Coturnix japonica: one gene and its partners. The protein of the gene in region 3 purifies or fractionates together with the protein of the main gene of each other region. This does not show direct contact. Links are inferred from orthologs where the notes say so. Each region holds a gene or a part of one and is shown on either strand. Other genes may lie near its edges.

Region 1 (5,848 bases), on a different chromosome or scaffold from region 3:
CTTAAAGCCTATGTGGAAAGTTGGGGCTCTTCTTGAAGCAGCTCTTCAGTAGATAATAAAAACATAATAAATAATTAACAGAGCAAGAAAGAAGCTTGGGTTGGTAGGGGAAACAATCATGTATCAGAGACAAGAAGGTTGTTTATTAATTGGAGCTATTTGAATTAGGACAGCCCATCTCCGCTCAAGACTCTGAACCTTTCTGTCACGCTTGTTGAAATGGGAGAGGACAGATTTGTTAAGAGAGACAGTGACGATGTTCCGGTGAGCGGTACAGTATCACCACAGATGGACTCTGGGGAAACCACAGCTTTACAACATTCTTCAGAGCACTTTAAGACAAATTCTCATCTCAAAACGCACTGAAGTTTTTGCACTAACACAATATCCTCAATCAGCAGCTTCCTGCCTTCTGATTTCCCAAGTCGGCTACTTTCTAATCTTTAGAAAGTAAATGTTGCAATACTAAACTGCCAATTAATGAAATATTCAGCCTGGTGCTTGCAGGAATCTCCATCTGGCACAACAGTTAAAAATTGGGCTGATAAAAGTTCTCCCTTAATGAAGGAAACAACCATGTGAAGCTGTTCCAAATGCTCAGGGTGCATTTATATTAGCTGACAACTGATACTGCAAGAAGCTGATTTATACACGAGCAGTAAGTTAACTTGCACACTGGGAGGACCTTTGAGATTCAGCGTGTCCTTTGGATCACGTGCTTCGTGTACAGTAAGTTCTGTATTTTGTTTACCTCAGGTGCAGGTTTTATCAACAACCCAAATCTTCAGCCTTAAACGCTGCTGCCTGTGACATTTTCCTTCAAAGTCACAGCCCGATTCTTTGAACTGTTTAGTAGCAGCAAAAGCAAACGTCCTTTCTTGGTACATGTGAAGCAATGAGTACCTCGACAGAGCCTCTTTAGTGAGGTGTTCCAAAAGTTCATGGTCATCTCCAAGTTTACAACAGGAAAGATCCAAACAGGTCAGCTCCCGGAAAGACTTGATTTCTTCCAGCTTTTCAGAGATAACCAGGTATCTGTAAGGAACAAAAGAAGCTATCGCTGTTGAGGAGGATAATAAAGGTCCCATGCTCTCAAATACAAGCATAATGCAGTTATTTCTCACATATCTATGCAGAAGTTGACAGAGATCAGCCAGCTGTTGTAACTGCCTTTCAAACACTGTTCTGCCTACAAAGCACCTGAGCTCCCAGCTTCTCCTCCAACGGATAGCACACTTGCTTTGACAGAGTACCAGACTAATGATTAAGACTTCGACTTGCAAGCATCGCTATATATAATTGGGCCCTATATTATATATAGGGGCTTATTTACAGACCATTGCTCGCTGGACTCCAACCAGAGCTGTGGCTGCACCCCAGGCAGCAGTTACACAGCGGGTTATTTTCTTTGGCTGTGTTGGTTCTCTGATCCGATTCACTCTGCAGCCACGCAAGCATCTGTGCCGGAACTATTCAGCAGGAGATTTAGAGATGGGAATGCGCTGTAATATCACCTACCTCCATCTCCCCTGTGTTTATGGCAAGACAATCCCTCAACTCACTAATATCTCCTGAATTTACCTCTTCGCCCCCATGGCAAAGCAATCCCTGAGGAGAACATTCTCAGCGGTGAAATTAGGGGTGCTTACTATAATCCCTGGAACCTTTTTGCCTATGTGAATAAGAGCATTTTCTCTGTGCTGGTGCCCATACTGAAGCACTCCACCACATCCCTCTGCCACGCAGCTCAGATGGGTGGAAGGCAGTTGGAATACAAGACAGTTCTTGATAGGTAATGCGAGTTTTACTATGAGTGGGCTCTTAGAAATGAGGCTCATAAAACATGTCTTAGCGTCTTACTTCCTGGATTTCAAAGATTTGACATTTAACCGAGCTTGTTTTAATGATAAAATATGCCAGAGGTAATTCCATTTCTGAATGGAGCTCATAAAAGGTACCTGTACTAAAAGAGGGAGTACCTTGAAGGGATAAAACAAGGTAATTGACCTCTGCTCAAACATTCCTGCTGTGCTTGGCACTGCAGATAAACGTGCCTGTCCTTTGAGTTTAAACTGAATAAAGCAGCCCTTTCTGAATGTATAGATGGAAGGCAGACTCATTATATCGCTGCCCAAGACTTCAGCAGGAGCAAAGCTTTAAAAGCAGGCCCAGTTTTCAGCTTGGTGAGGCACTCTAGTAGGAAAAGAAACTGTGGATGTTTGAGATTGAGAGAAAACAAGAGAACCTGAAGCACAGCAGCACAGATGCTGATGTGTCACTGGGTGCTCCTACCTGTTCCGCAGACACAAGGAGCACAGCACCAAGCTGCCATACGCCTCGGTGAACTTCTGCAGGGCTCGCAGTCCCGTCACGGGTTCTGTGAATTTCTGCCTCGCTTCTGCGGCCGAAAAGAGCTTCTCTGCGATCTGCTCCGGGAAACCCACCAGCGAGTCGATGTGGTCAACGTTGTCGGAGATGTAGGCCAGCACCAGGCTGAACAGGGACTTGGCCGAGTAGCGCAGGTTGCCCTCCTTGGTGTAGGTGAAGATGAAGTGCTCGGTCCTCGGCCTCCTGGCCCTGTCGTCCTCCCCGTTCAGACGCAGCTCCACGGAGAACCCAGCGGGGAACAGGCGGACAGGCCGCGCTGTGCGGGCCCCGTTCTGGATGCCGCCCGCACCCGGGCTCACCACGCGCAGCTCCCCACGTTCACGCACGTAGATCGGCCCGGCAGCCGAGTGGAGCCAGTACGACATTCCCCACGTCCAGCACTGCGAAAAGAAGCCAGAGGTGGGTAAAGCTGCCGGGGGCGGGGGCTGGGGAAGGGGCCCGAGAGCGAGCAGGAGCCGGGCCGGGCTGCGGGGGGAGCTGAGCGGGATCCCGACCCCCCGTTACCTGCCCCGGGGCCGCCCCGACACGCCGTCACCCGGCCGGGCCGCTCCGCCCGCTCCCGCCGCCCATCGCGGGGCCGAGCCGGGGGCGGGCAGCGGGGGGCGGCGCCGTTCGGTTGCCGGCCTCCTGTTGGGTTCCGTCCTTTGCTTTCCCAGCTCCATGGTGAGGATGCGGGCCGCTGACTGGTGTCTGAGCGCGGCGGGAGCTGCCCTCGTCATGGCCACATCCAGCGACACGGAGCACCCGGCCCGGAACGTGGCGGACGGGTGAGGGCTGCGGGCCGGGATCGTGGGATGCTGCTCACAGGGCTCATAACCATGAGCTGAATCCGGCCCTGCAGCACAGCAGCCCCGCTGCACACGGCCGTTCGGTTACAGCACCCCACATAGAGCGGCTTTCCACTCTTTATTCTGTTTATTGGTCGTAAGCAATGAGCCGCAGCGGGTGCTTTTGTGCTGTTTTCTCCACAGAAGTTCCGACACGTTCTGGACGACAACAGGGATGTTCCCGCAGGAGTTCATCATTGGATTTCCAAAGCGTGTGACCATCAGCAAAGTGGGCATCCAGTGCTACCTGGGTAAGGGCTCCCATAGCAGCACATGGCTCACGTTGTTTGGGGCACATATCTCTGCTTATATGTACACACTCACAGCACCGTCTTAGTTCTGAATAGTCACATTTAATACACATTAATGCATTAATACATCACAGAACCATTAAGGCTGGAGAAGACCTCTCAGTTTCCCCCTCCATGACCCACTGCCCATGTCCCTCAGTGTCACATCCCCACGTCTCTGAAACACTTCCTATCCCCTACATTAGAGCAGGCGTTAATTATAAGGTACTTTGTAGATGAAACATGATGCAACAAACATAAAGATCCCGTAAACCTCAGCATTTATACTGATACTTTAAATGCATCTGTATTTTAGTGCGGAGCTTGAGGATTGAAAGAAGCGTATCTAAAGACCCAGTAGACTTTAAAGAGTGCGTTGAAAAAGGTAAAGCTCTGAGCATGAAGCGGTGGCACTTGGGCTACATTGCTGTTTGCAGACATAGAATGCTGCATGAGGGTTACAGGCCCTTCAACCTGGTGAATTTCTCCCAGCACTGCACCCTGTTCCTTATTATTTGCTGAAAACAAACCCATGTTTTCTAGATTTGCAGCACACGGAAGGACAGCTTCAAATGGAAGAATTTCCTGTGAGTATACACGGGATACACCGTCATGGGGTGGGATGTCTAAACTAACTGGGTGGAAGCTATGAGAAAGACACGATTATTGCCAAGCTGACATTAGATGTATTGCCCTTTGCTGCTGCTTCTCTGTTGATGATGGTGTGAAATGGCACCTCAAGTTACTAAAAGAACTGAACTTACCTCTCATTTGGAAACAAACATCTCTATCTTTGTCATGAGCTTCTGTAAGTAGTTTGATAGTTACGTTACTACCAAGAATGAGCTAACGTTATTTCTCCTTTTCTTTACAGCTTCCTGATTTTCAGGCCACTTATTTGCGATTCATCATCAAATCCGCCTTCGATCATTTTGTGTCGGTGCACAGGGTGATGGCAGAGGGCACAGCAGAAGACACTTAAGTCTGGCTTAAATTTGTACCTCTTCTTTTTGGTATTATATTTTCGTATCTCTATCATAAGAAATATTTATTACAAACTGTGTTTAGGTCAGACTTTGTTAATACATGAATTAAAGCTCAGTTTCCTGTGAGATGTTTCCCTTACACTCTGAGTAGAAAAGGTGTGAAATACTTAAATGAGAGGTATTACTTCTTACTGTCAAAGAAGCTCTTCAGAAGTTCTTATACTGGAAATTTGCTCATTAACTCAAAATAAACTGTTTAATAGGATGAATGTAAGCTACTAATGCTTGCAAATAACCAGAGGGGAACAGAAACCAAGCGAGAGCTGTGCTGCTCTGAGAGGTTTGTTTGTTTATTTGTTCGAGTAACGGCAGATCAATCCTTTGTTTCTAAAAATATTTTCTGAAATCAGGTCACAGCTGTCAGTGCTTTATGCTGTGACTGTCATAACAAATATTATAGAAACAAATGTCCAGAGATTGTGTCATTCAGAAGCCTTCTGAGGTGAGAGAAACTGAACGTTTAGGAACATGGTTTGTATGCGAGAGAGACAGAGAAACTTAATGATGTGAAATCAGTTGTTTTGCCTGAAATTGGCTCTTGCAAATGTCACCACCACGAAGGTTGAACCTGCACCGTATTCTTAAAGAATGTAGATGTTGGTGTCCAGTCATAACAGCTGACTGACAACAGAGCTGAACATCTCCAGACACATGAATGGTGAACCACGATACGGATGCTCTCTAAATGCACATGCGTTGTTCTCTTTCTAGTTGTTTCTTGGATTTTGAGATTTTAGTGTTTTGTTTTGTTTTTTTTTAACTCTCAGGTCTGTGAAAGCTTTATCCCTTGACCTTCTGTATCCATATAGTCTTCACTCTGATGTCCTCTTTCTATTTCAGTTTTTCCAAGACGGTGCGTATTTCCTGGGGGTGGTAATTCCAAGGCCCCACTCCTCCCTGCAAAGGCAATAAAATTATACAGTGAAGCTCAAATATACAGAGCAGAAGCCTTTAGAGCACAGTGGTTAAATCAGAGCGGTGGGTGGGTTTCCTTTGCTCGGCAGCCGTTGCACAGGAGATGGTGTGTGCACAAGTCACACCCTGCTGTGTAACTGGGACAGGGCCCATGTCTGGCTCCTGGAGCAGGGGAGTGTGCCTGGATCTTGCATTTAGATGTAGCTAGGTTTTCTAATAAGCCACAGGATAAATATTTGAGCAGGACTGAGGTGTACATCAAATATGTACATTGTGAAGGCCCAGGCTGGTTTTGCCACAAGTCCTTGTTTCCCTGTGGTTACAGTGAATTGTGAAACGACTAGCTATGAAATGGAGTGAAGTACTGACTGTTGAATAACAT
Region 2 (6,422 bases), about 82 Mb from region 3:
AAAGTGACCAAACAACTTGTTCTGGATGCTACCTCCAAGCAATTGGAAGAGAAGGTTATGAGGAGCAGTCCACATGGATTCACCAAGGACAAATCATGCTTGACCAACCTGTTACCCTTCCATGATGTCATGAATGTCATAACCAGCTGGGTACACAGGGAGTGAGCTGTGGATATTGTATATGTTGACTTCAGCAGGGTGTTTGACACTGTATTCCACAACAATAAGGGATACATAAGGATAAATACAACTTTGTAAGGAAGCTTAGAAAGTATGGGATAACTGAGTGAACAGTGAGGTAGACTGAGAATTGTCTGACTAGTAGAGCTCACGTGGTTGAGTTCAGCGGCACAGAGTTTAGGTGTTAACCACTCTATCTGAAATTTTCCTACAAAGAAGCTGACAATGAAGGAGAAAGAAGGGACGCAGGAAAGAAGAGTAACAGAACTGCCAGTAGATTCTTAAAGAAAATGAACAGCAAGTAAAAAACTTCACAGCTGATAAATACTAATATTATATAAAATGGATAGTCAAACATACCACAACATCCTCTTCCAGTTTATTAAGTGTTAATTCCATATCATCTTCTGTTATTTCTTCTTCTTCTAGCTCATCTGTTGGGTACACTGGCCTGAAATAAGTTCAAAAAGAGTACTGACAAAAATAAACAGGAAATACTTCAGTGAGCTGCTCCCAAGCAAACAAAGGATTTCAGGTTAAGTATGAATAATGTGGAACATGAACAGACAGTGGTTGTACCACACATTTAAACAAATTAAATTATTGTCAACCTTCAAAGTCTTTGGTTACCTCAGACTGTCTTAAAAGTGAGGACAAGTAATCAGGCCAAGCAATAAATTGTATTCATGCTGCTAAGACATCTAGGGATTAAGTTTTCATTCATCTTCTCCTTTGGTCTAACTTCTAAAACTTCAAGTGCAAGTCTCCACAAACTCATTTGTAGCCTATTTTGGAATTTGTGTACTAAATGTTGGTAGCAATAAGATACTTTAAAAGTAGAAATTACTTTGCCATACAATTTAAAAACACACCAGAGGGAGGGGATGAAATCAAGAGCAATTTTAAACAAATTGCCATACACTTGAAATCGTTTGCCATCTGAACTCTGTGAAGATTTCTTTTGGATTCAATACATAACGTTATAGTAGTCTATTTGTAATAGGATCACATGTTGTGTGAGCTTCCAGCTGAGGAGCTGGATTTAGCTACTGATTGATGAGACCAAAACAGACAGATAAGGAAACATTTCAACTCAAATGTTAGATTAACAAGCAGTTACTCGCAAAAAAAGAGACCAAATAGAGGCTATTGGTCAAATCTTAATTAATTAATTTAATCTACTGACAGCCCAAACTCACTCTTGCTGGCAAAAGACTAAGATGCATGAAGTGGTATTAGGAATCACCTTGTTCCATTGCTTCAAGCCTAACTTAATTTTGCAGCTCATGAAACGTCAAGTAAAACATTTCTGGACAATATTATATTTTGTGTGCCTCCCTTTATAACTGCCATTTCTATTCGTTTGTTGAAAAATATTGTGTATATGAGGATTCTTCCAAGTGTACTATACCTTTTCCAGCTAAAGCCACTGTATTTCAAGGCTTCTTCGGCTAAACAATCAAGAACATAACAGGCTTGCTCTCCATAACCCGCCTTTAATTTTGAGGGAGGAAAATCCACAGGCCTTCCCTAAAACAAAAAGATATGATGCTGTTTACTGATGGCTATAAATCGATTTCATTTCAAAGCAGTAACCAGATTTTTTTTTTAACTAAAACCCAAGCGTCCATCATGCCAAAAGATTTTACCAATGCTATTTCACATTCTTCTCCACTGGAGCTCCAGTCAGGCAACAGGATTGGAAAACAAAACAACTCAAGGGACAGATGCAGTGCAGAAATCCTAAACATGGTAAGTGATGTTTAGTGAGCAGAAGAATCAAACTGTAAGGGAACTAGATGGTTAAGAACAAAAGTGCCATCCTGGCAAGGTAAGATCAGCTACAGAGGAACCTGGGTACTGAGATTAAACCTATGCTTTTCCTTTTTCTTTTAATCACTGCCTTGTTTGTTGCAGATGTCTCTCCAGAGAACACAAACACAACTTAAAATATTTCCTTTGCACTTAATTCCATTTTTGAACTTGGCATGAGCAGAATGTGAGTACATATTGTGTAAGCTTCTAAGGTAAACTGTGTAAATTATGCCACTATAAATGAACAGCACTTGTAACACTACAAGAAGCAAATCAAGATTAAATCTTGATTTAATCCATTTTACAGACTGTGGAACAAAACTAAATATAATATTCTATGGCCATTTTTGTAGCGTCAAAAAACAAAGTAGTACATACAGACAGTATAAATATCTAATAACTTCTAATTAACATTGTTCAAACGCACAGAGAGGAAAAGCCTGTCCAGTCCTTGGGAAGATAATCAGATAGGACAGGAAACATGTTATTCCTGATATTTATGAAGGTCACGTCCGTGCCTGAAATGCACTTGAAAAAACAGCATGTTCAGCACTTACAAATGATCGCAGTTCCGAGAGTATCTTTGATATTATTGCATTGGGGTCATCATATTCTTGAGGCTGTTCGAAGTGATGCCCAGCTTTAGTGATCAGCCAAGCGGCGAGAGTGCAGAACACGAAGAACTGCTCACCAGGATTAGTGGGCAGTGCAAAATAGTGCCTGTTTAAGAAAGGGGAAATGGTAAGCAATGGTGTTTTGAGCTACTGAGGTAATTACAGAATCACAGAATTATCAAGGTTGGAAAAGACCTAGAAGATCATCTAGTCCAACCATTACCAATACTTCCAGGCTAAATCATATTCCTCAGCACCACATCCAAGCGTTTCTTGAACACTTCCATGGTCGGTGACTCCACCACCTCCCTGGGCAGTGCATTCCAATGCCTGACAACTCTTTCCGAGAAGTAATACTTACTAATTACTTCCTAATTCCTAATTACAGCACAATGAGTGAGCACAGGCTAGGAAAACAGACTCTTAAACAAACTTTCCCCACACTCCCCAGCTACCAGATGGGCAAGAGGTTGGTGTACCTACACTCGTGCACAGCCTGGACCAGGAGCTTCTAAATTCTTCCACTCACTCCCACCTACTGTGCGATCTATACAAACAGCACTATTTGGGATCAAACTAAATAGAATAAGGTGTTCTGCTGCCACACCTAACGCGCCCTGAAGGGCACTTCCACCCCCCCTAGCGACCCCACAACCTCCCCATCCCGCTGGGAGCGCTCGAGGGGCACCTGGAGAGCGGCCGCACGTTGTGTCGCCTCAGCACCTCCTCCTCGTAGCTCAGCAGCTTCAGCTTGTCCAGCAGCTCCTCCATCAGCACGAAAGCGGTGTAGGCCGCACCGGGACCCCGCTCCACCACAGCGCCGTCCTCATCGCGCTCCGCCATCTTGGAACCACACGCCACAGCCCGTAACCGAAGCAACCGGCTCTACCAATCACCGTCTGCCTCTTCCTCCATGCCACCAATGGCGGCTCAGCGCACTCAGGTCAACGGCGAATCAGCGCTCGGAAACTCTCCGCCCATCCCACAGGGTTGGCAGGAGCTGGATTGGCTGCTGCTGTGAGAGAAAGCGCAGGGATTGGTGCTCCTCGCTCTGAGTGTATGTACTGATATACAGTACCAGAGAGCGCAGTGGGGCAGAGGACTTGTAGCCATGGGAGTGCTTTGGAAAGGGAAAGGGCACAGCCCCGAAGAAAAGTTATATAAGCCTGTTAAGCTGTACCTTCGCTCCCTGCCTCCAAGAGGAGCTCCGGGTGCTTTGCTGTTCGTGAACTCTGAAGAGGTAAAACTAAATAGTGCTCAGAGCAACACTCTGGCATGAAAGGGTGAAAGCTGGGGTGTAGAAGCAAAATGTGTGAGGTAAAATGTGACGTTTCAGGTCTGCTTCTTAAGAAAGGTTCCATTGGGAGTATTTCTCACTGGCTGAAGTTGTGTTTGGAGTCTGCGTTTGGTACATTGGCATGCAGTTGGCATTTAAGGCATGTTCTATTGGTGAGCATTAATGCTATTTAATATATTGTCTTAATAATCTTATTTTCCCCTACAGGAACAGGTTCCTGCAAGCCAAAAGGTTGGACGTGCATGGTAGGTGATCTTTATGGCTGGCTCCAAGCCTTTCTGTGCTTACTGCTGATACGGACTTTTTGTGCGTGTGATTCTTCCTTAGTAAAACATGATGTGTTCAGGCATTTCTAGCTTTCTTAAGGCTGCACGTGCTTGGAATGTGCCATTATGAAGTTACTATGAAGTTACCTTAAAAAGCAAAGAAACAATCCTTTTCCTAAGAACTAATAACTTTTGTCTGACAAGACAGGGAATGTTGTAATGTGTGACCACTCCCACATGCTGCTAAGAAGTAAGTATGCTAGGTGAACCCTTTGGCCAGGGTACAGGTAAATTGGAAACAAAATGTCACATTCCAACAAGGTGACAAAGCCTTTTGCTGTTTGTTTCATATGGTGGTCAAAGCAAATGCTGGAAAACCTGATGCATACAGTTTTCCAGTATCTAACTTGTTTTCTCCTTGCGTTGGCAACTGCTGCTAGTTAGTCACTGTAGCTAAAGGTACAAATAAATTAATATATTGAGGTTGTTTTACTCTTGCATAATCTCTTCTTCAGGTTTAAGAATTTGGTGCCCCTCTGGCCCCCTCCACAAAAAGTGGTAATACATAAAATCACTCTTGCTTTGCGGAAGAAGCTACATGCAAAATCCTTGGGATGTAAGATTCACACGCACCATAAATACAATTGCACACACCAGTCAAAACTCTTTGTCAGTATTGGTGTAGGATAGAAGAACTGACCAGCAATCCCAGCCAAACCTGTGCCTTGTCTAAGTTAGAGTGTGTGTAGGTCTCCTTTCTGGAGGGACAGAGGAGTAGGGGAAGCCCTTTAGGCTCTCTGTAAACTATATGGGTCATGAGATAATTTCTTTACCATGCTCAGCTGTATTTTGAAGTAATGCACCTGGATGGAGGAAGAGCGTGGTCTGTCAGTTACAGGAAAGTTCTTGTGTTGTTATACAGGTGAGTTTTCTCTGTTGTCATTTGACCAACAAACCTAAAAAGCTGATGGGGGAGCTTCATTCTTGTCTGTGTTCCTACCCCAGACTTCCATATTGCGTATTTGTAGAAGTTCACTTGATCAAAAGGGCTTCAGCTGAACATTCTTTATACCTGCGGTGTTTGGACTATCAGGCAAACTCCCCACTTCAGAAAAACAAATACTGAAGGAGTCTATTTCAGGGAATGGAAAAACTGGTTTGTCTCCTTTCAGAAAAGGCCCTTGGCTGTTTTTCCCCTGTGTTCTACTCATTAATTTTGAAGATCAGCAGCAAGCGTTAACACTTCAAAAACAGACTGAAAATGGATGGCTTGGCAATAAGAAGGCCTAAATGTTTATAAAATGTATAGCGTACTTTGTAACATTAATGCCAAGAAACGTGTCAAAACCTATTGCAGAAAGATATGGTAGTTGATAAACTGTATAAAGAAAACAATGCAGCTGGAGAGACTTATTTGCATTGAAACAGTTTTGTGTTGCTTTTTTTTCCCCTCCTTTTTTGTTGTCAGTTTGAAGTGAATCTACTATGAATCAAGGAAGATATGAAGGGACAGAAAATACCATATCTCCTTCTCCATTTACTTTCTCTTTGTGCTATGCTTTGGGGTAGGTTAAAGTTCTTTTTTTTAAAGAAAAATAAGAATGACGGCTGTTACTAATTTTTTATGTGAGGAATTATTCAAACATTGTTAATGGCTAAGGTGGAGTAAAGCACTCCTGATGCTGAAGAAGACTGGAACATTGTGACTCAGATGGCCTTGGCCTTTAAGCACAGAGACCATTACTTTCCTGCAGTTCTGCCACATGACTTGGCTGGGGCATTTACACATGGAACCATTTTCAGTACTAACTGATAACCAGTGCCTGCTTGACTGGTGCCCCAAGTCAGGCACTGGTTATCAGTTAGAAATGAAAATGGTTCCATGTGCTATGAACTTTGTGCTGAGATGGCTGGGGAAAGGTCCCCCAAATTGCTCTGCCGGGGTTGCCATATATGTAGATCATTAAATATCAGAGTTTTCAGTCAGGGATAAGGAGGTGCAGAAAATTCTTATGGGCTAGATTTAATGCAACTTAGTCATTTGTTCTTATGTGCTTTAGGTTCTAGAGAACGGCAAACTGTAACAGGGCTGTTTTCTAAGGATGTCATCCTTCCTTGTCCTTTTCCACCTGGGAACGATGAAGTAATTTACTGGAAGAAAGAGAACAAAAATGTACTCAGCTACTATGAGCAGAAGGACCAGCTAGAAGGCCAGCACCCAGATTACAGAAACAGAACACATCTTTTTCA
Region 3 (5,674 bases):
TGTACTTTCAAAGCTAGGGAAATTATATGACAATGAAGGTGACAAATCCCAAGCCTTTCATTATTACTATGAGGTATTTGCTTTCTGTTGCTTTCTCATAATTAAAGAAAATATTGCCATAGTTTTCTGTGTCAAGTTAACAACTGATTCATTTCAACTGTTAAAAATGTCATCCAAAAGAAGAAATAATGACCTTTGCCAGGAGTGGGGGGTTGCAGGCAGTTGACAAAATCTGATTTTTGTAGTCAGGTCCCAAGGAAGTGCAGTCTGTGTTTCCACCTGGTATATGACCTCTAACTTTTCTTTGTCAAGTGGTTGTTATTTACGTTGGCCCCTATCAGTTTCAGGATTAAAAAGGGATACAATAAATGTGATTTTAAAGGTGCTTGACTTGTCAGCATTAGTTGGAAGATATACCTGTGTGGTGGATATGGAGATAAATCTACATGTCTTTGTTTGATTGCTATACATTATGTATGCACAGTTGCCCAAAATTAGACATCCTCTCACTTTACAAACTGTGGTACTGGCTGGGATTTCTAGAGATCCTTTGGTTTCAAAAGTGGGAATAAGACAAGAAGCCACTTTGCACTCCAGCAGTTCTTTTTATGTACATGTAAAGTGAGGATGACCAGTTTTGCAGTTCTGAGTACTGGTGGAATTGTGCGTGATTATAATTTTGGTGCCTGTTTCAATGGAGATTGCTAAGAAACTGCAAATGTTATTTACACAAATGCATTTCTTGGAAAAGAAAGCTTTTAAGTCAGTCTTCTATCAGACAGATTTGAGTGTGAAATTGTATTAGGTAGCATTGTTTATCATTTTAGGTAATGTGTTCACATGTAGACCTGATCTAAGTAAACATCTTAGCTGTTGCAGCCTGTAGTACTTTAAGTAAGGCTGGATGGAAAGTGCGACAGACTTATCTCAGGTAACTTCTGAAATGCATTCTGTAATTAGAAGACTTGGCATGCTGGTTTTTTTTTTCCTCCTCAGGATTGCTTAGCATAGTACACTGCTTCCATTCACATACAACATATTTTTGGCATCTGGGGTATTAAACACTTGAGTCAGATATTCCAGAAGTAACATAAAGATGTTGTTTATCACTACAGTTGTGTTTCTTTCACCTTTTCTGTTTTGTCAGTCGTACCGGTATTTCCCTTCAAACATTGAAGTCATTGAATGGCTCGGAGCATATTGCATTGACACCCAGTTTTGTGAAAAAGCCATTGAGTACTTTGAAAGAGCAGCACTTATCCTGTAAGTAATTTTTATTTTATATCTTTTTAAAAGTTTTGAGATTAGACATCCATAATTATACTCAGAGATAAATTAATTGGATAATTTTTGTACTGTAAGCAAGTATCAGAGTAAACTATTTTGGAACATCATTTAATTTTCCCCAAATTTCTGTTTGTTTACAGGGTGTTTTTGTTCTTACTGTGTTATTTCAATGTTAAGTAAGGGCTCAAGATGGTATTTGCTATTAGAACTTCTTTTTTCTATCCTCTGTCGTTAAACGTAGTGATGAAGTGGGGACCATTTCTACTAAGTCACCAAGACTTCCTTCTCTGTGGCCTTACATGAAATACTCCCTTTCTTTTTATCACACACTGAGAAACTGATGGTTTAGATAAATGTATATTTAAATGTTCTTGCTGCTTTTTCCTTTTTCATCTAAGTTCTGTTCCCATAAGAGGAACAATATTGCAAATAAGGGCGTAAGGAAGCAGAAGTGTGTCATGCAGAATTAACAGTGGATAGTGGATGTAGGTTAGCAAATCAAATTGATTTCGATATAGATATTTGAACTTACTGAAATTGTCCTTTAGCCGAATATGACGTGCTTAAGGATGCGAGTCTGTAGGCTATGCTTTGTATTCTAAGTCAGAAAAGTGAGACAAGAGCATTACTCTTAAGAGAGATATCACATTAACTTATTCTAAATAATCAAATCAAGACCACGTTCCTGACCTTAACGGTCAGTCTGACTCACTACTTGGGGAAGTGGCATTGGCAGCATGCAGATCCTCAGATGCAAAGACTGCTTTCTTCCGTTCTGTGTGAGGCTCCTTCACTCCTCATGAAAATGTTTTCAAGCTCTTATTTCTGTAGGAAGCAATTAGTGTTATTCTACTGATCATCCAGCTTTTCATTTAAAGTAACTAGACTTGAGATTATATTGTATGTAGGGGAGGATATAAAAATGTGCCATTATAGGTACAGTAAAATACTAAAGTATGCAATGTTCTTCAATTCTGCAACCAGTTGGTGCAGCAGACAAATGTGTGCAAATCTCAAAGATAGCATGAAGAGCAACCAGTGCTTCAGTAGCTGATGCTTGTAAAGCCTCATGTACCCTAGAAGAGGCAGGAGAAGCTTAGTCAGAGTATAGGACCTTGTAAAGTAGCTTTGAATAACTGACACATGAAGTTCTACTTGGTTATCTGTAATTATCATCCGTCTTTTATATAGAAATGGTGGGATTATGCTGTTATTAATAAATAACACTGCATAGGTATTTGGTTATTTGTTATTAAAATAATCTAGGTATGTTAATTGATAAATATGAATGTTGGGATATAAATTGCTGAATAAGTATCGTTACTGATTGGAAATAAACTTACATCTAGTAAACTAGAGCCCTGAACACAAGAAGATGACCCACACAAATATACTGTGTGTGAACTGACCAGGTTAGCTGCTTCCTAGGAAGAGACTATACAGGGGTGAAATGTTTAAGAGGAGTTTAATAGCAGGTTTTTACAAATGCTATACAGAATATGTTGCCTGTTTATTATATGCTTACCGTGTGCACAACTTTGTCTTCTTTCTGTGCAGACCTACACAAGTGAAGTGGCAGCTGATGGTTGCCAGTTGCTATCGGAGAAGCGGTAAGCTCGGCAGCGTTTTTTGCAGTTAGCTGAAAAATTGTTTTGTTTTGATGGATGTTTTGATTTCTTTTTCCTTTTGATTTTTCTGTCTCCTGTGAGTACTGTGAGTACTGGTCCGAAATTTTATTTAAAATTTCTATTGCATATTATTTTGTTACAAATTTTCTGTGTGTGTGCAGTAAAGTGTGACTTCTCCTTTAAGTCTGAGAAATATGCCTCTACTGAGTGAGACATAAAACGTTACTTGTGCTCTTAAGTGATTAAAATAAAGATATAGAATCATAGAATATATATATATATAATATATATATATATATAATGTATAACAACATAAATTATTTGCTCAAAGTTTTGTAATGTAATTATCATACTGTCAGATCTAATGTAGTCATTAGATTTTAAAGTTGCTTAATTCCCATTCATTTTCAACACTAGGTGTAATTTTTCAGGTATTCATGTAGCATATGCATTGCACAGACAACAGGCAGTCTATGTGCAGTTTCTTACTGGGAATACTGTATGGCAATAAGCAAAGTGGAAAGAGCCTAACCTTCCTAGATTCTTTCATCGCATAATCGTGTAAATGATTGGTTTTCTCAAATTTGATCTTATAATATTAAATCATGTATTAAAACCGAAGAAGTGGTGTTGAACTGTATAAATTCCTCTTCAGATGTATATATATGTATATATATATATATTTTTCTTTTTTTAATGTGTAGTAATGTTGGTAGGAAACATGTTTTGTTTACAGGTAACTACCAGAAAGCTCTAGAGAAATACAAAGTCATTCACCAAAAATTCCCGGAGAATGTTGAATGTAAGTTGTTTCACCGAGTGGTACAACCATCAAAGAAAACTTTGTTACTTTAAATATGTTTGTTGGTGATCCATATGATGTAAGTAGTTTTCCATACCCAGATATTGTTCTGAACTAACATTTTTATTCCTGCTGCTGCCCCCGTATTGGATTATTGTTTGTTTGTGGTAACACCAAAATGTGACTTAAGAAGTACTAGGATAATGCTGAAGAAGAAATATGAAAATGCACTAACTGTAGTTGACTGGCTGAGTTCATTTTCTTGCATACTTGCTGCATTTTATAATTATGTTCATTGTTTCATCATGAGATTAAAACCTTTTTACTTCTAGTCGCCACTAGGTGAAACTTCTGCTGTAAATTTCCAGATACAAAAAAATGATCCAGTAAAATTTTTACTACAGTCTGTCCTTCTGAAAGGACATAGACAGTTCCTAAGTACAGTAGGTCAAGTAGTCTCTTAGACAATTTCAAACTGCACTTACAGGAAACAGCTTTGAAGAGCAGAATGTTTTACTGAAGCTGAAATGAAGAAGCCCTTTAGGAAACTGGGTCTGTTACTGGTTGCCACAATGTCCTCCTACATCTCACACTGACATACTAATTCCAAACTACAAGGCTGTCACCAACAAACCTACACTTTTAAATTTAAATGGGAAGAGTTTTTACTGTGTTTTAAAATAAAATTGTATCATTCGGCTTTGATAAACCTACTTTTTGAAGAGGAAACATACAGTTATGTTCTAGTGATGTTGGACTGGAGTCACCTTGTATTCCTTGCTGTTTGTAGTGGTCTGTACCTCCATTCAGTATGCCCAGCTTGCGTAGGGTGCACTTGTAGTTTGAGCTGCTTGTAAGCCTTTTTCTCACAATGGTTTGTTCTTCAATTAGGCCTCCGATTTTTAGTTCGTCTCTGCACAGATTTGGGACTGAAAGAAGTCCAAGAATATATGACAAAACTCAAGAAAGTGGAAAAATTAAAGGAGATGAGAGAGCAGGTAAGGTTGTTTCTTTCTGCAATATGGACAGCATACCACAGACAAAGCTAAGACAGTATTGATGGCACTTTAAAATAAAATATGTATTAAATTCCAGGTTTGGAGAGGCTCATATTCTGTGGTTTGGGTTCTTTAGTTGTAAATTAGCGGTCAGCATTAAATCTGTCAGAATGTTTGTTGAGCACTGGATTTTCTGTGATTTTAAATATTAGGGAAAGATAGATTATGTGGATGTGTTGGGATCGCTGGAGCCACATGCATAATTCAGCTCCTCTGGAATGTCGTCTTTCCTACTTCTTTGCCAGAGTGTGAAAAGTATATTTACCAGCCAAGCAATAATGCAGCTATAGAGAGAGAAGGGAGTGCAAGAATTTCTCCATGTTGTAGAACTCCTTTTTGCTATTACAGGACCACAACATTAGCAGGTTACATAAGTATGAAGTAAATCATTTATGTTAGTGGCAAATGTTAAACTGAGAAAGAATTTCCATGGAAAAGTTACAGGCTGTGAAAGGTGTGAAATCACAACTTGTGTTGCATTCAGAACAGTGTGTGTTCTTAATTTTCTTGTTATTCCCGTGATAAACTAAGATTTAAAAATTAAAATCAGCTTCTTAATTGGAAAGCATTGTCTGTGTTATGGAGCTGCAGTATACTCAAGTTTGCTCTTTCTTTCCAGTGAATTGTATGAAAACTATGTTGTCACATTAGGGCACATTGAAGTTTTGCCTAATATATGTTGTGCTAGTAAGACTTACTGGCTCCCTTTCAGTGTCGGATAATGTGTAAATACCTCCTCAGTTACTGCAATTTTGCTTCAATTCCAGAGAGTCTAAGTATGCATGAGTAGACTGGAGCATTTCAAAAATGAAAAGAACTCAGACAGGGGAATGCTGTTCAAAGGATTCCAACTTTATGCTACAAGCCTGCTTTGTGGGCCATTTGAAGTATGGTGGTTT
Region 4 (5,674 bases), on a different chromosome or scaffold from region 3:
TGATGTCTAGAAACGTTTGGGGTTTTTTTGTTGTTGTTTTTTCTTTTAAATCCCTATATTGAACTTCGTTGTAATTCATTTAAATGCAGATGGTCTGCAACCTCTCACACAAGGTCAGAAATGTGTATAGTCACTGTGAGAGGGAGAATCTCTCCACCTTCTGTGCCCACCATTAGCAAGCAAAGCAGGGACAGCAGAGCAAGTGGTAATGCTCGCTCACATTCTCCTCACCATACCTGGAATTACATTGCTGGACTCACCCTAAATTCCAGCACTTGGATTCAGTGGCTTGTCTGTGTGAATATTGACACTGTGGATGTTCTTGTCACAAGTGTTTGAGCTGGAGAGTTTTTTGCTTAACATTTGTGAATAAACTGAGACCCTCCCCTTCCCCGCAGAGCCATAAAAGGCAGTGCCTGCTGCTTGACCCGTGTTTCCTCTCAGCTGCCTGCCCCTGCTGCCTTTCATACTAATGAATATTCACATCATCCCTGAGCTTTTTTCTCACACCTACTTTTCTTTTTACACTTGTGCTTCGTTTTGATATTGTCTGCTTTTGTTAGAGAAATTTTCTTCAGTCCACTTCCCAATCAAGAAATTGCCTCAGGTGATACTGGATGATATTTGCCTGTTTGGATGGGGCTTTGGGCAGCCTGATCTGGTGAGAGGTGTCTCCCCTATGGAGGCTGGAACAAAATGGTCTTTAAGGTCCCTTCCACCCCTCAGGATCCTGTAATGATTACCCACTAAGGATTGCTTCCCTAGATGCCACCTCTGCAACAGAACTAACCAGAAATTAACCTGAAAGGCAGAGACCTAACAGGGCAGACAACTTGGGAAATTAACTTATCATCTGCTTGATGAATCATCCGAAGCTTAATAGTGAAACGTAGAATGATTACTTCCTAACCAAGTTTTGTCTTTGCTGGGCTGCTCAGTCACGGTTTTGAACTGTTTTCTGAATGGAACAGTTTTGTGAGGCATTTTGGCATATTGTAGCAAAGACTGTACAAGAACCACAGTAATAACATGACAGCTTACACAGATCTCAAGCAACAATCTGTCAGGTCTCTGAAACACAAAGGCAGAAATCTGAGAGGAGGTCTCACATCAAAGATCAATACTGCTATGAATTTTGAAGCCTATGCAATAAAGCCAACTGCAGGAACACTCACTGATGCAGGTGGTGAAGCAGAGAGGTACAGGGCAGAGATGATTCCCCCTCTGCACTGAACTAAAACTGGGATTCTCTAGAAACTCCCTCATACAGTATTACCAGATAAAGACAAAGGGCGGTGAAAAACCTCTAACTTTGATGTAACTGTCGTGTCAATTGAATGGAGGGTAAAGATAAAAATTACCGTGATGGCACAGAAACCACAAGGAGCAAAACAAAACCAATTAAGATATGTATATTCAGTCCTCCATTTCTGGACTAGTGACGGTAACAGCTACTGCATCTGTAAGAACAGCAGATTTGCAAGGAGCTGCCAGGATCTGATGGCAGTGTATGTTGCTCCCTTTGAGAGGTGGAATATCTCCTACAAACTGGAGTTTCAAGGCAAACCTGGCAGAGGCATCGTGCCTGGTAGAGCCATGCTTCCCGTGGGACCTAACTGAAGCATGGCTTCTCTGAGCTTGTGCCAACAGGGGTTGCAAGTTAAAGCCACTATCTGGGGCCTATAATCTCCAGCAGGAGGGGAAAATCTTCTGGTATGTCTGAGAGAACTCATAGGTTTACAGCAGCATATACTGGAATTCAAGATGCTTATTTTTAGATTATTATAGTGTTTCTAAATTTATCAGGTGAACTCCTCCAGTTCAAATGCCAGTGAGAAAATTCCTAACTTCAATCTCAGATTCTGAATATCCTTCAGCTTAATACAAAAGAAACACACTAATATGGTTACCGAATTGCCTTTCGTCTCTCCTGTGGATCTGGGGAGACGTACGTCTTCATTTCTTCTTTAACACGTTGCAGCTGTATTTCTAGATTCTATAACGAAAGATACAAATGGTTTAAGAAATACATAATTCCTATTCCATTTCATAGAATGATTTAGTCCCTCCCATGACCTTACCTTTTTCATGCAGTTCACATAGTGGTAGTTGCTTTCTTCCCGAGTGCACTCCTCAAGAAGTCCCTTCACTTCCTGTAGTACAAGAATGAGATTTCAACGGGTGTTCTCACTGAAGATCCACAACTCACGTTCCATTTTGCCATATAAACAATGTGAACCCATAATATGAAAGGGCATAACTCTGACTTGTTCATTTCTTATGTGTTTTTAGAATTTTGGCTATAAAAAAAAAAACAGTTCTTCTGGAAGGTCTATTCAAGCAGGTTTGTCTGTGGAGTTCTTTATTTTGCTTGGATTAAGCCACACAGAGGTACATTCAGTGCAGGGAAAGAGTACCTATACATCCACCTACTCTTTAAATGTACACTGTTTTTAATTTGAAATATATTCCTTATGCTGGCAAGCCCTTAAAAAACCAAATCCAGACAAAGTTCATAGGAGATAATCCACAAATTCTTGTATTTCATATGTATTAATGCTGCTCCCAGATATCAGAATATTGAACTGGTTTAGGTACCTCCCTTCCTAAAAGTGCTGCAGATCAAGCAATAAATGAACTACACACAGGCAAGCTCCTAGACATATCTATATTGCAAGGTGTTTTTTTTTCCAAAAGGTTTTATTTTTGTCCATAATTCTCAAGAATGCATGATGAATCACATTTAATGAAGAACCCTTGCTGTCAGTTTCAATGTATTAATTAGCCATGGGATTAGTTTTGCTAAATTAAAGAGTATGCTAAACGTGTGTGAAGATTTGTCTTGATAAATTAATCCTTAACATTGTATTGAGAAATTCTTTTCTAACAGATACTTAGGTCAGCAAGGTTTCTGGCAGAGGCCTCTTCTTTTACTATTGCTAATCAGTACTGGACTTCAGTAAATGGGCTGATGTAGCACTGAGTTCATTTGCTGCTGTTCAGAACAGGAAGCGTGTGGGACCACAGCTAGTCCACAGCAGCTTCTGGCATGGTTTGCATAGCTGTGGATCACCATTGACTCACTGCCACCTGAAGTGAACCTACAGCTTCCATATCCAGAGGGAAGGCAGGGAAAGTACTGAACCATAATGAGAAACGCATTGCAAAGCATTTACTAACCTGCATGACCAAGCCACCATCTTACCTGTTCCAGTGTGGAGCGATTGCTCTCTAACCCTGCTGCACAGCTGTCATACTGGATTTTTTTCTCATCACATTCTTGAGTTAATTCCTTATGTGAAAAGGGCAGAAGGGTACATAAATGAAATCTCCAATTGACTGACATGTGACATTCAAGCAGGTTCTCGTTGGTCTCACACATCAACCTCAGCTACTGGCACGCTCCCTGACACTTATGTAAACCCAGCAGGCAGGTGGGTACTGTTACACACACGCAGTAAGGCTGCATAGTGGTTAACAAGCTGTATACACCACAACACAGCATGCAAATTTCCTCTTTGCAGCCACAGCTTTAACGTGGTAGATCATCAGGGCAGCACTTGCAAGAAAAATGTAAAATAATGATGAAATTGGAGATTAAGAAGGGATTAATATACTTGCTACCTATGAAAAAACAGCTTTGGTTTTTAGCTGTATGCAACAAATGGCTTAGCTGGATTTCATTTACTGACACTTTAAATAGAACTATTAAAAATAAGTTTTCTGGAAATTTAGTTGATAAAGGGATAGCTCAATTTACTTCTGTGTCAGTGAGCCAACTTACAGCAGCTGTGGACCTGAATGACTTCTTCAGCTGTCTGTGAAATTTCGAAAACAGATGGATAAATCTGTCATTCCAATGGACTAATATAGGACTTAGATCAATGCACACAACCATTGGGATGAAATTTACTTCTGATCTATTTTAAAAAAGAGAGAGTTATTTGAGATCACCAGTGCTGAGAAGCACAAAAAGCTTTGAAACTGAATTGAAAATTAACTTTGCTGTGATTTTGAACCACAATTTTTATCATTTATCACTTTAGGCCTTCCTTGTTTTGATTCTTAATTACTGTAAGGGACACAATCTCAGTGTGATTTAGCTTTTAGCTATTCCAGTCTTTTATTTGTTGCTTGTTGAAAATCATTCCTTGCTTATTCTATTTCCAGCTTTCCTCCAGAGTTGGTTACATCCTTACACAGCTCAACAGAGCTCTGTGAGTTGTGCTCATTTGTGAATTTGATCTTAATTTTGAATAATGAGAGGAAGGTTTAATGCATTAAAATAAACCTACTTTGAGACCGAAAAAAAATATGACAAAACAAAACATGCAATTAAATAAAGTTGATGAGACACTGGAGGTTTGCAGTACTTGAAGCATTTAAGTGTCTGGTAAATGAAAACGAACTTAAACTAACCATATTCTGACTCATTTTTGCACTGTCTCAGCTCCTACGCATTGTATATCCTCAACCACAAAGGTGCAAATAACTCAAGGGCAATGCATATTGATATATGCACCTAAAATCTACAGGTACAATGAACTCCTGCTCTAACTGTAGCACTTGACTGCATGGAGAAATGTGCAGAGCAAAACAGAGGACTGCCCCCCAACGTCTGCCTGCTGCCTACCCTATTCCATCCATAAGCACTGTTCAAAGTATTCTGAAGTGTTTCTACCAACCTGGCACTTTTGACGCAGCTGTCTCAGTTCTTTGATGACAGGAGCCAGGCTTGACTTCTTCTCTGCCACCATAGCATTTAATTTCTTTACCTGAAAGAGGGACAAAATGTTACACACTGATATTATGGTATTAATACATCTAATTTATTAGGATTGTGAAAAGAGTTGAAAACAAAATTATGGAGAGGAAAAAAAAGTGTGACAAAAGAAGACTGAACTGTATATAACTTAAATGCAGAACTAATTGAGAAAGGGAAAGAGCCTGTGTTGCACTGAGATCATTACCACAAACCAGACCAGTTCTGTTCCCAGCGTTTGACAGAACACCACAGACAAGACCAGCAGACCCATCTGCCAGATGCCATTTGGCTTCAGGAGAGGGGAAAACAAAGGAACTGCACAGAGTTGGAGTGGCAGAAGAGATCTTTGAATAAACCAACCAAAATAAGCCCTGCATAGGTGAAATAAAGTTTGAACTTGCTAAAACAGAATCACTTCAAAATATTTATACTGAAAATTCAAATTCTTCCCATCTTTCTATTTGAGATTCATCCTGTTTTGATTCTACCACTTTATTTTTAAAGTGCCCTAATGATTTTAAAGAATGCTATTTGGCTTTTGGCTCCTTTATAATATTTTGCTTCTATGGCTACATGGTAAGTTAAAACACTACAGATCTAAGGACAGCTGAAAATTAAGCTAAAGAGAAGAAATAACATTTAGTTCTTCAGACAAATGAACTATTTTTAAATGAATACTTAACCCTGGTGATTTACGTTTTATAAAATGATGCTGTAAAAGAGTCAAGCAATTAATCTAGTCAAATAGCAGGCAAAAAGAGTCAAAAATAGACAAAAAAATAGACAAAGCTTGTAATCTGTACTGTTTGAAAGTATCTATTTTTCTATATAAATCTATATTAAAAGTGAAAAGTCCAACCAAAATATTCAACTTGGTTTTATACTGTGAGGAAGCAGATATCGAAACGG
Region 5 (6,404 bases), on a different chromosome or scaffold from region 3:
CGTGCAGAGGCTGGATCCAACTCTTGTATACAGGGATGTCCAGAATGGCTACAAAGAAAAGCAGAAGAGTACAGGACTACTCTCCTCTGTATGGAGTACTGTAGGTCAGCCCTGAACTTCTCACTGCCTCCAATGACTTGGCCCTTTGCTCATCTATGACTGCACGCATCTTTGCCACAAGAGTCCACTTCCTACTGAAGGCGACAAAGAATGGACTTGACTACTTAGGTCTGAATCTGTACCTACAAATCTCCTTTTTTTTTAATAACAGTGACAGGCCAGCAGTACATTTGTGTCTTCAGCTGTGAACAGTATGCAAGACTGGAGTTGGACTGTCCTGAATGTCCAAAAGGATCAAGTATATGTACAAGGATTGAGCTGTTTGGTTTTTCCTACCTAAGCTCTTTGAAGAGTTGACTGCTCACTATCATCAGCGTGCTGAGCAGAGCAGAAAGAACCCAAGCCCATGAAAGATGAATAGCAATGAGATAACAGTTAGTTGAAACATCCTCTTTGGACCAGCTTGAGAAACCTCACTGTCTCTCAAAGCTGAGCATTTCCTTTTGTTGCTAATTTCTGTGCTAGGGATAGGGACAATCAGATAATCTGTAAGTAAGGGGAAAAGAGGGATCTTCCCTGCTTACCACATATCATGTCAACGTATTCAGCCAGGTCACAATTCATTTCTGCAGTTGGGAGGCCCACCTGGAAAAGAAGTTGTCAGTTTTGCTCTCATACAGCAAAGGCCTGAGAACATGCACGAAACCAGAACTGAGAACAGGGGCTACCTGGGCAGCAGCCAGGCATTCAGACTTTAGGCTGCTCCCATTGTCTGATCAGAACAAAATGTTCAGTGAAGAACAAATCTGAACTGAACAGGGTGCAAGCAAACTGGTCAAAGAGGAAGAGAAATCTAGATTTCAAGTGGGATCATTTTTAATGCTGAGCCCTGAACATTTTTAATTTGTAATGCTGTGCCTGACACTTGGATGCCATACCTTTCCCAAGAGCTCCTCAAATTCTGGTGACCACTCCTGCATGAGGGTCTCTATGTCAGGCATGGGCCTGTAAAGGAAGAAAGAAAAACAGAAACATTAGGATTGCAGGCAAGAAGCTGAAATGGCTTCCTACTGCCATTGCTGTGAATGGGACAGACAGTCTTAGCACTAAGGCTAAAGAAACACGCTAGAACAACTGGCCTGAAACTCAGCACGTCTTATTCCTCTCAGAGACACTGAGATCATCCTGCTCAGTGCTCCTGGACTTTGCCACCCACTGACCTGATGTTCTGCTGACATAATGACTCACCGGCTGTAGTGGACAGTGGCAGGAGGTTTGCAGCGGTGCAGTTCACTGATGTTTTCAATCCAGTTGTCAATGGCTTTGGGGTTCTTCTCTGCATTCTCCACACTTTTCACTTTTATCTGCTGCTGAAACAAAAATAGAAACCTGGAAGCACTTTGTGGTGGTTTTCCTAAGTCTGTACTGAGACTTGCCTGAGGCAGGGCTTAGATACATTTCAGTTTAAAGCTATAGGTCAAAAAGGGTTATTTTTCTGCTTTTAAAGCCAAGTTATCAGTTGTGTTGTGTTGCTATAGTCCCACAAAGAGTAAAGTGCAATGTCTTCATTCTAGCCTGGGTGCAGTAAATGTTTTCTCTCTCCCCATGACTCACTGTAATGTTGTGCTGTTTGGAATTCTCCGTTAGCCAAAGAGAGAGTACTGTGGGATCTGACTGCTTTGTTGATGGCTCATCTAAGACCAGCAGACCGAGGTTATCAGGCTTGCCATCTGGGCGTGGGACCTGCAGGTAAAACACAGAAGGAATCCTCTATGGGAGTAGCAGGGGATGCTGGAACTATTCTGTACAGCTTCTCCCTGTTGTTAGAAATTCAGACTCAATTCAGAAGAAATTTGTAAGCGTGATGCTTTGAAAGAGCAGAAAATACGAGTTGTTAACACAGCGGTACCTGAAATGCATAAGGTGTTGGACAAAGAAACAGGCAGCCCTTGCACCAAATTACATATGTGCTATGTGGGATGTTACCAAAGTGACCAGCCAGGTCATAGTGTTGCTATTTGTGATCTCCTAGGTGTCTACAGCAGTATCTGCAGCACAGGGCAAGGGCACCTCGCTACCACCAGGTCAGTGTGGCTGCAGTCTGCCAGGCTCATATCTAAACCACCTTCTGTTTCACCCTGTGTGTCAGCAGGTATGGGGATATCTGAAAACACTGTACCTTTAGGAAGGCATCAATGTCTCCAACAGCAGGAATGAAGTCTGGAATAAAAGGCTGCAGTTTGTGCTCAATCTGTATTGTTTTCGGAGTGTATCTTGAGAGAGAAAAACAACAGGATTGCATAGTGGGCAATTGACATTTCCTGCCAGAGACAAAGACCTTGAGACAAAGGAGAACCCAGGGCAGGCGAAAGCTCCTTCAACTCACCTCCTTATGTATTCAAAGAGTTCTTTAATTTCAGGAGATACCGGCAGGTAGTCATAGTTTGCGAGGTTGTAGTCACTGAAGAGAGGAAAAGCAATTCTTGCAGACATTACTTCCTATCAGTTTTTGTACAAGAACAAAGGCACGAACATGGATCCAGCTGTGCCCCAAAGCAGAAGCAGGACACTCTCACTGTAAGAGGCTTCCTGTCCGTGCACAACTCTGTTCAACCCTTTTAAGCCACGGGTTCCCGGCTCCCTCCGCTGCTCACCCCTCCAGTGAAGCCCCGCGCTCCTCCGAGTCCTCAGAGTCGCTCTCGGAGGAATCCTCATCATCGTCATCATCATCATCATCATCGTCATCATCGTCGTCCTCGCTGGCGGTGGAGGGTCCCAGCCTGGCCACTGTTTCCTTCAGGGCAGGAGGGACGCGGCCTTACTTACTGTACCGTACCGTGCCGTGCCGTACCGTACTGTACTGTATCGTACCGTATCATACCATACCGTGCTGTACCGTACCGTGCCATACTGTACCGTACCGTACCGTATCGTACCGTACTGTACCGAGCCATACCGTACCGTACCGTGCAGTACCGTTCCGTATCATACCGTATTGTACCATACCATGCCATACCGTACCATACCGTACCATACCGCACCATACCGTACCATACCGTACCATACCGTACCATACCGCACCATACCGTACCATACCGTACCATACCGTACCGTACCGTACCATACCGTGCCATACCGTACCGTACCGTACCATACCGTACCATACCATGCCGTACCGTCCCGTGCCGTACCGCCCCTCTCCCCCCGTACCTTGCTGCTGCTGCTGCCTCCTCCTCCCTCCCGGTCGTTGCCGCGCTCTCCCGCCCCGCTGGGCCGCGCTCCCGTGCCGCCTCCTCCCGACCAGATCGGCCCCGGCCGGCGGGATCCCTGCGGCCGGTTCTCGCTCCCCGCCGCCTCCTCGGTGTCCGGCAGCTCCAGGCTCTCGTCGTACGGCTGGTTCTCCACGGGCCGAGGCTGTGCGGAGGGTCGCGGGGAGGCGATGGCGCGGCCCGGCCCGTCCCCGCTCCCCTCGGCCGGCCGCCGCTCCGCCATGACGCCGCCTTCCGTCGCCATGGCGACCCCGTCTCGCTCTCCCTCTCCCGGCTAGAGCGGCGCCCGCGGCCCGGCCCCGCAGCCGCGTGTGGGTGTCGCCCCCTGCCGGCCGGGGCCGGTACTGACGCGGGCCGCCCCCAGGGCCGCGCTCCGGGTCCTCCCGCCCCGCCCCGCCCCTCGCGTCGTGCGCGGCGCCGCTTCCGGCTGGGGACGTGGCTCGGCGCCGCCATCTTGTGGGGCTGCCCGAGGGGACGCGGAGCCGCGAGGGAGCGAGCGCCGAGCCGAGCGCCGCCGCCATGGTAAGGGTGTGCCCGGCCATGAGCCGCCGCCATGGTAAGGCTGTGCCCAGAGCTCAGCCGCCGCTCGTGGGGCCGCTGCCGGCCGGACCGGGGTCGGAGAGCTCGCGGGGCCTGGCCAGGCCGCTCATCGCTCGGCGGCTCCGCTGCCGTTCTCTGGCCTCGTCCCCGAGCACTGTCGGATCGCTCCGCAGCTCCGCGATGGACCCGGGCCGCTCCAGGCCGTGCTGCCCCGCCGGGTGACGCTGCGCTCCGGGCCCGGACGTGGCGCGGCCTGTGGGAGCCTCCAGCTCCGCTTACCGGGCGCTGCCGCAGGGCGGTTGGGGGGCACTGCCCGCTGTGCGCTGCGTGATGTGTAACGTGGAGGCTGCTTGCAGCGTTAAGGCTGACATCTGTAACCAGGCCTCGTCTCTTGCTGCCTCAGCTGCCAGCTCGGGTGGAGGTCACTTGTGTCCCGTTGGCTGTGGGTGACGTGGAGCTGTGAGCTTTCCGTCCCCGAACGGGACCTGCTGCTTGGTGACAGAGGCCGAGGTGCTGCTGAGATCAGCTGTGCCATTCGGTGCTGTGCTGTGCTGTGCTGCACTCACAGCCCTTTCAAAGAGCAGTTGGGAAATGGAGGCTTATGCCTGTTGCTTTCTTCAAGATATCCCTGACTACAGGGTTCCTATGGCCACTCAATGTACAGCAGTTGCTGGCTGCTCACCTGGCCGTGCTGGGGTTCATGCTTGAAATGTACAGACACTGAAGAACTTCTGGTGCTTCTCATTGTTAGGATACTGTGATTAAAACTGGCTGGGGAGTGAAAGGATCTTACCTTTAGAAACTGCTTTATCTTCACTATGTTAATTAAGAAACTAATCTGTGAGAGAAGTATTTCAGGACGAAGTCGAGGCGGAGAGAATGAGAAAGGGTGAATTGGCAGTTACCTTAATGCCTTTCTATTGTTGGTGTGATAACATCAGTGAAATGCCCAGGAGAACCATCCACGTGCTGTAATTAATATAATGGTCAATATTTTATTAACCCGGCTTAGTTTAAGTGTGGCACTGGGAAGAGATGTCACATTTCAAAGTGTTCTGGTCTTTATTGTGACTTTTCTGCTGGGGCTGAACTAACAGATAAGTCAGTTTTTGCCTAAAGCATTGCTGGGGTTTTGTCATAGCCCTATAGGAAAAGGTGTTGCATTAGCCTGAATGGAGGACTGAGAGCTTTCAATGCTGTGTCTGTGTCCCTATAGGTGCTGTTGGCGGCAGCTGTCTGCACCAAGGCAGGGAAGGCCATCGTCTCCCGGCAGTTTGTGGAGATGACCCGAACCCGCATCGAGGGGCTGCTGGCAGCTTTCCCCAAACTGATGAACACTGGGAAGCAACACACCTTTGTGGAAACAGAGAGCGTGAGGTACGTGTATCAGCCGATGGAGAAGCTCTACATGGTGCTGATCACCACGAAAAACAGCAACATCCTGGAAGACCTGGAAACACTCCGACTCTTCTCTAGAGTGGTAAGGATCTACACGTCGGGTCCTGTGTTCACACCTGTAGCCCCAAACAGTGGCAAGCTGGTGCTGAAGCACTCTGCCTCCACCTCATAACTTGGTTATCTATGGCTTGTTCCTGACCTGGAAGTAACCTTTGCTGCTCCTGTGGTAATTTTGAACTACATGTGAGAAATCCATGCTTGCCATTTAACTGGTGAGGCCAAAGAGATGCTGCGAATGTAGTGTCAGATATTTCTATGTTCTTTAGGTAGCAACTGCATTCCTTCAGTCCTGGCTTCACATTGTGATTGAGAAGCATAGCAGTGCTCTAAATGGATTTCTAAGTCATGGGTTTTTGCAGTTGTTTTTTTAATTAACTTCATAATCTATATCTGTGCAGCTGAAGGATCTTCAAGAAACTGAGCAGCATCACAGGGTGTGTTTTGTAGTGAATTACAAAGTTAAAACTGTGCTGAAAGACTCCATAAGTGTTTTAGTTGAAGGAAAAAAATAGTCACAAAACTTCATCTTAAACAGCAGCTCAGTGGGTGCTGATTGTCACATCTACATCTGTTTGCAATGCTTTTCCCTACCTAGATCCCTGAATATTGCCGAGCTCTAGAGGAGAATGAGATCTCTGAGCACTGCTTTGACCTGATTTTTGCCTTTGATGAAATTGTTGCCCTGGGCTACCGTGAGAATGTAAACTTGGCACAAATTCGGACCTTCACAGAGATGGAGTCGCATGAAGAAAAGGTGTTCCGAGCTGTCCGAGAGGTGAGTGGAACTAATTGTGGTGCAAGGTGCTTTGGGAGCACTGCTTCTTTATGCAAAGGTGTTACTCCACTTTGGCAAGGCTTTTAAAGATACTTAGCTTTCCTGTACACTGAATACCCATTCTTTGGCATTTTGTGTTTGTAAGAAGACACCGTGAGCAGCTGTACAGAATAAAACTGAGATTGCAAAGCTTTAGCAGCTTTCATCTTTTATTTCAGACTCAGGAACGTGAAGCAAAAGCTGAGATGCGTCGTAAAGCGAAGGAGTTGCAGCAGGCCAGGAGGGATGCAGAGAGGCTGGGC

What was found.
Region 1: the proteins of IFT88 (region 3) and HSPB11 purify together in Homo sapiens (affinity purification with mass spectrometry; 3 studies listed by BioGRID and IntAct, with this or other methods). This does not show direct contact. The link is inferred for Coturnix japonica from reciprocal best matches to the Homo sapiens genes IFT88 and IFT25.
Region 2: the proteins of IFT88 (region 3) and IFT57 purify together in Homo sapiens (affinity purification with mass spectrometry; 3 studies listed by BioGRID and IntAct, counting the BioPlex papers as one, with this or other methods). This does not show direct contact. The link is inferred for Coturnix japonica from reciprocal best matches to the Homo sapiens genes IFT88 and IFT57.
Region 4: the proteins of IFT88 (region 3) and IFT81 fractionate together in Homo sapiens (co-fractionation; 3 studies listed by BioGRID and IntAct, with this or other methods). This does not show direct contact. The link is inferred for Coturnix japonica from reciprocal best matches to the Homo sapiens genes IFT88 and IFT81.
Region 5: the proteins of IFT88 (region 3) and IFT46 purify together in Homo sapiens (affinity purification with mass spectrometry; 3 studies listed by BioGRID and IntAct, with this or other methods). This does not show direct contact. The link is inferred for Coturnix japonica from reciprocal best matches to the Homo sapiens genes IFT88 and IFT46.

What each region holds. Positions count from the first base shown.
Region 1 is NC_029523.1:22,426,162-22,432,009, reverse strand, and holds HSPB11 (intraflagellar transport protein 25 homolog), read left to right. Parts: upstream 1-2,753; 5' UTR 2,754-2,787; intron 2,788-2,892; exon of another isoform or gene 2,893-2,949; intron 2,950-3,044; 5' UTR 3,045-3,048; coding exon 3,049-3,155; intron 3,156-3,359; coding exon 3,360-3,466; intron 3,467-3,821; coding exon 3,822-3,890; intron 3,891-4,048; coding exon 4,049-4,092; intron 4,093-4,379; coding exon 4,380-4,487; 3' UTR 4,488-4,630; downstream 4,631-5,848. Other genes in the region: LRRC42 (leucine-rich repeat-containing protein 42), read right to left, coding at 904-1,035, 2,293-2,753. UniProt on the Homo sapiens protein: Component of the IFT complex B required for sonic hedgehog/SHH signaling.
Region 2 is NC_029516.1:78,425,721-78,432,142, forward strand, and holds the start of IFT57 (intraflagellar transport protein 57 homolog), read right to left. Parts: upstream 3,510-6,422; 5' UTR 3,453-3,509; coding exon 3,298-3,452; intron 2,716-3,297; coding exon 2,553-2,715; intron 1,711-2,552; coding exon 1,592-1,710; intron 632-1,591; coding exon 541-631; intron 1-540. Other genes in the region: HHLA2 (HERV-H LTR-associating protein 2), read left to right, coding at 5,674-5,737, 6,233-6,422. UniProt on the Homo sapiens protein: Required for the formation of cilia. Plays an indirect role in sonic hedgehog signaling, cilia being required for all activity of the hedgehog pathway.
Region 3 is NC_029516.1:159,979,921-159,985,594, reverse strand, and holds part of IFT88 (intraflagellar transport protein 88 homolog), read left to right. Parts: coding exon 1-73; intron 74-1,147; coding exon 1,148-1,263; intron 1,264-2,844; coding exon 2,845-2,897; intron 2,898-3,651; coding exon 3,652-3,717; intron 3,718-4,608; coding exon 4,609-4,715; intron 4,716-5,674. UniProt on the Homo sapiens protein: Positively regulates primary cilium biogenesis. Also involved in autophagy since it is required for trafficking of ATG16L and the expansion of the autophagic compartment.
Region 4 is NC_029530.1:4,604,142-4,609,815, forward strand, and holds part of IFT81 (intraflagellar transport protein 81 homolog), read right to left. Parts: intron 4,776-5,674; coding exon 4,686-4,775; intron 3,293-4,685; coding exon 3,206-3,292; intron 2,154-3,205; coding exon 2,082-2,153; intron 1,997-2,081; coding exon 1,911-1,996; intron 1-1,910. UniProt on the Homo sapiens protein: Component of the intraflagellar transport (IFT) complex B: together with IFT74, forms a tubulin-binding module that specifically mediates transport of tubulin within the cilium. Binds tubulin via its CH (calponin-homology)-like region.
Region 5 is NC_029539.1:4,767,924-4,774,327, reverse strand, and holds the start of IFT46 (intraflagellar transport protein 46 homolog), read right to left. Parts: upstream 3,674-6,404; 5' UTR 3,574-3,673; coding exon 3,271-3,573; intron 2,855-3,270; coding exon 2,715-2,854; intron 2,522-2,714; coding exon 2,447-2,521; intron 2,334-2,446; coding exon 2,240-2,333; intron 1,804-2,239; coding exon 1,675-1,803; intron 1,431-1,674; coding exon 1,309-1,430; intron 1,066-1,308; coding exon 999-1,065; intron 706-998; coding exon 645-705; intron 49-644; coding exon 1-48. Other genes in the region: ARCN1 (coatomer subunit delta), read left to right, coding at 3,883-3,885, 5,086-5,349, 5,923-6,102, 6,321-6,404. UniProt on the Homo sapiens protein: Forms part of a complex involved in intraflagellar transport (IFT), the bi-directional movement of particles required for the assembly, maintenance and functioning of primary cilia. May play a role in chondrocyte maturation and skeletogenesis.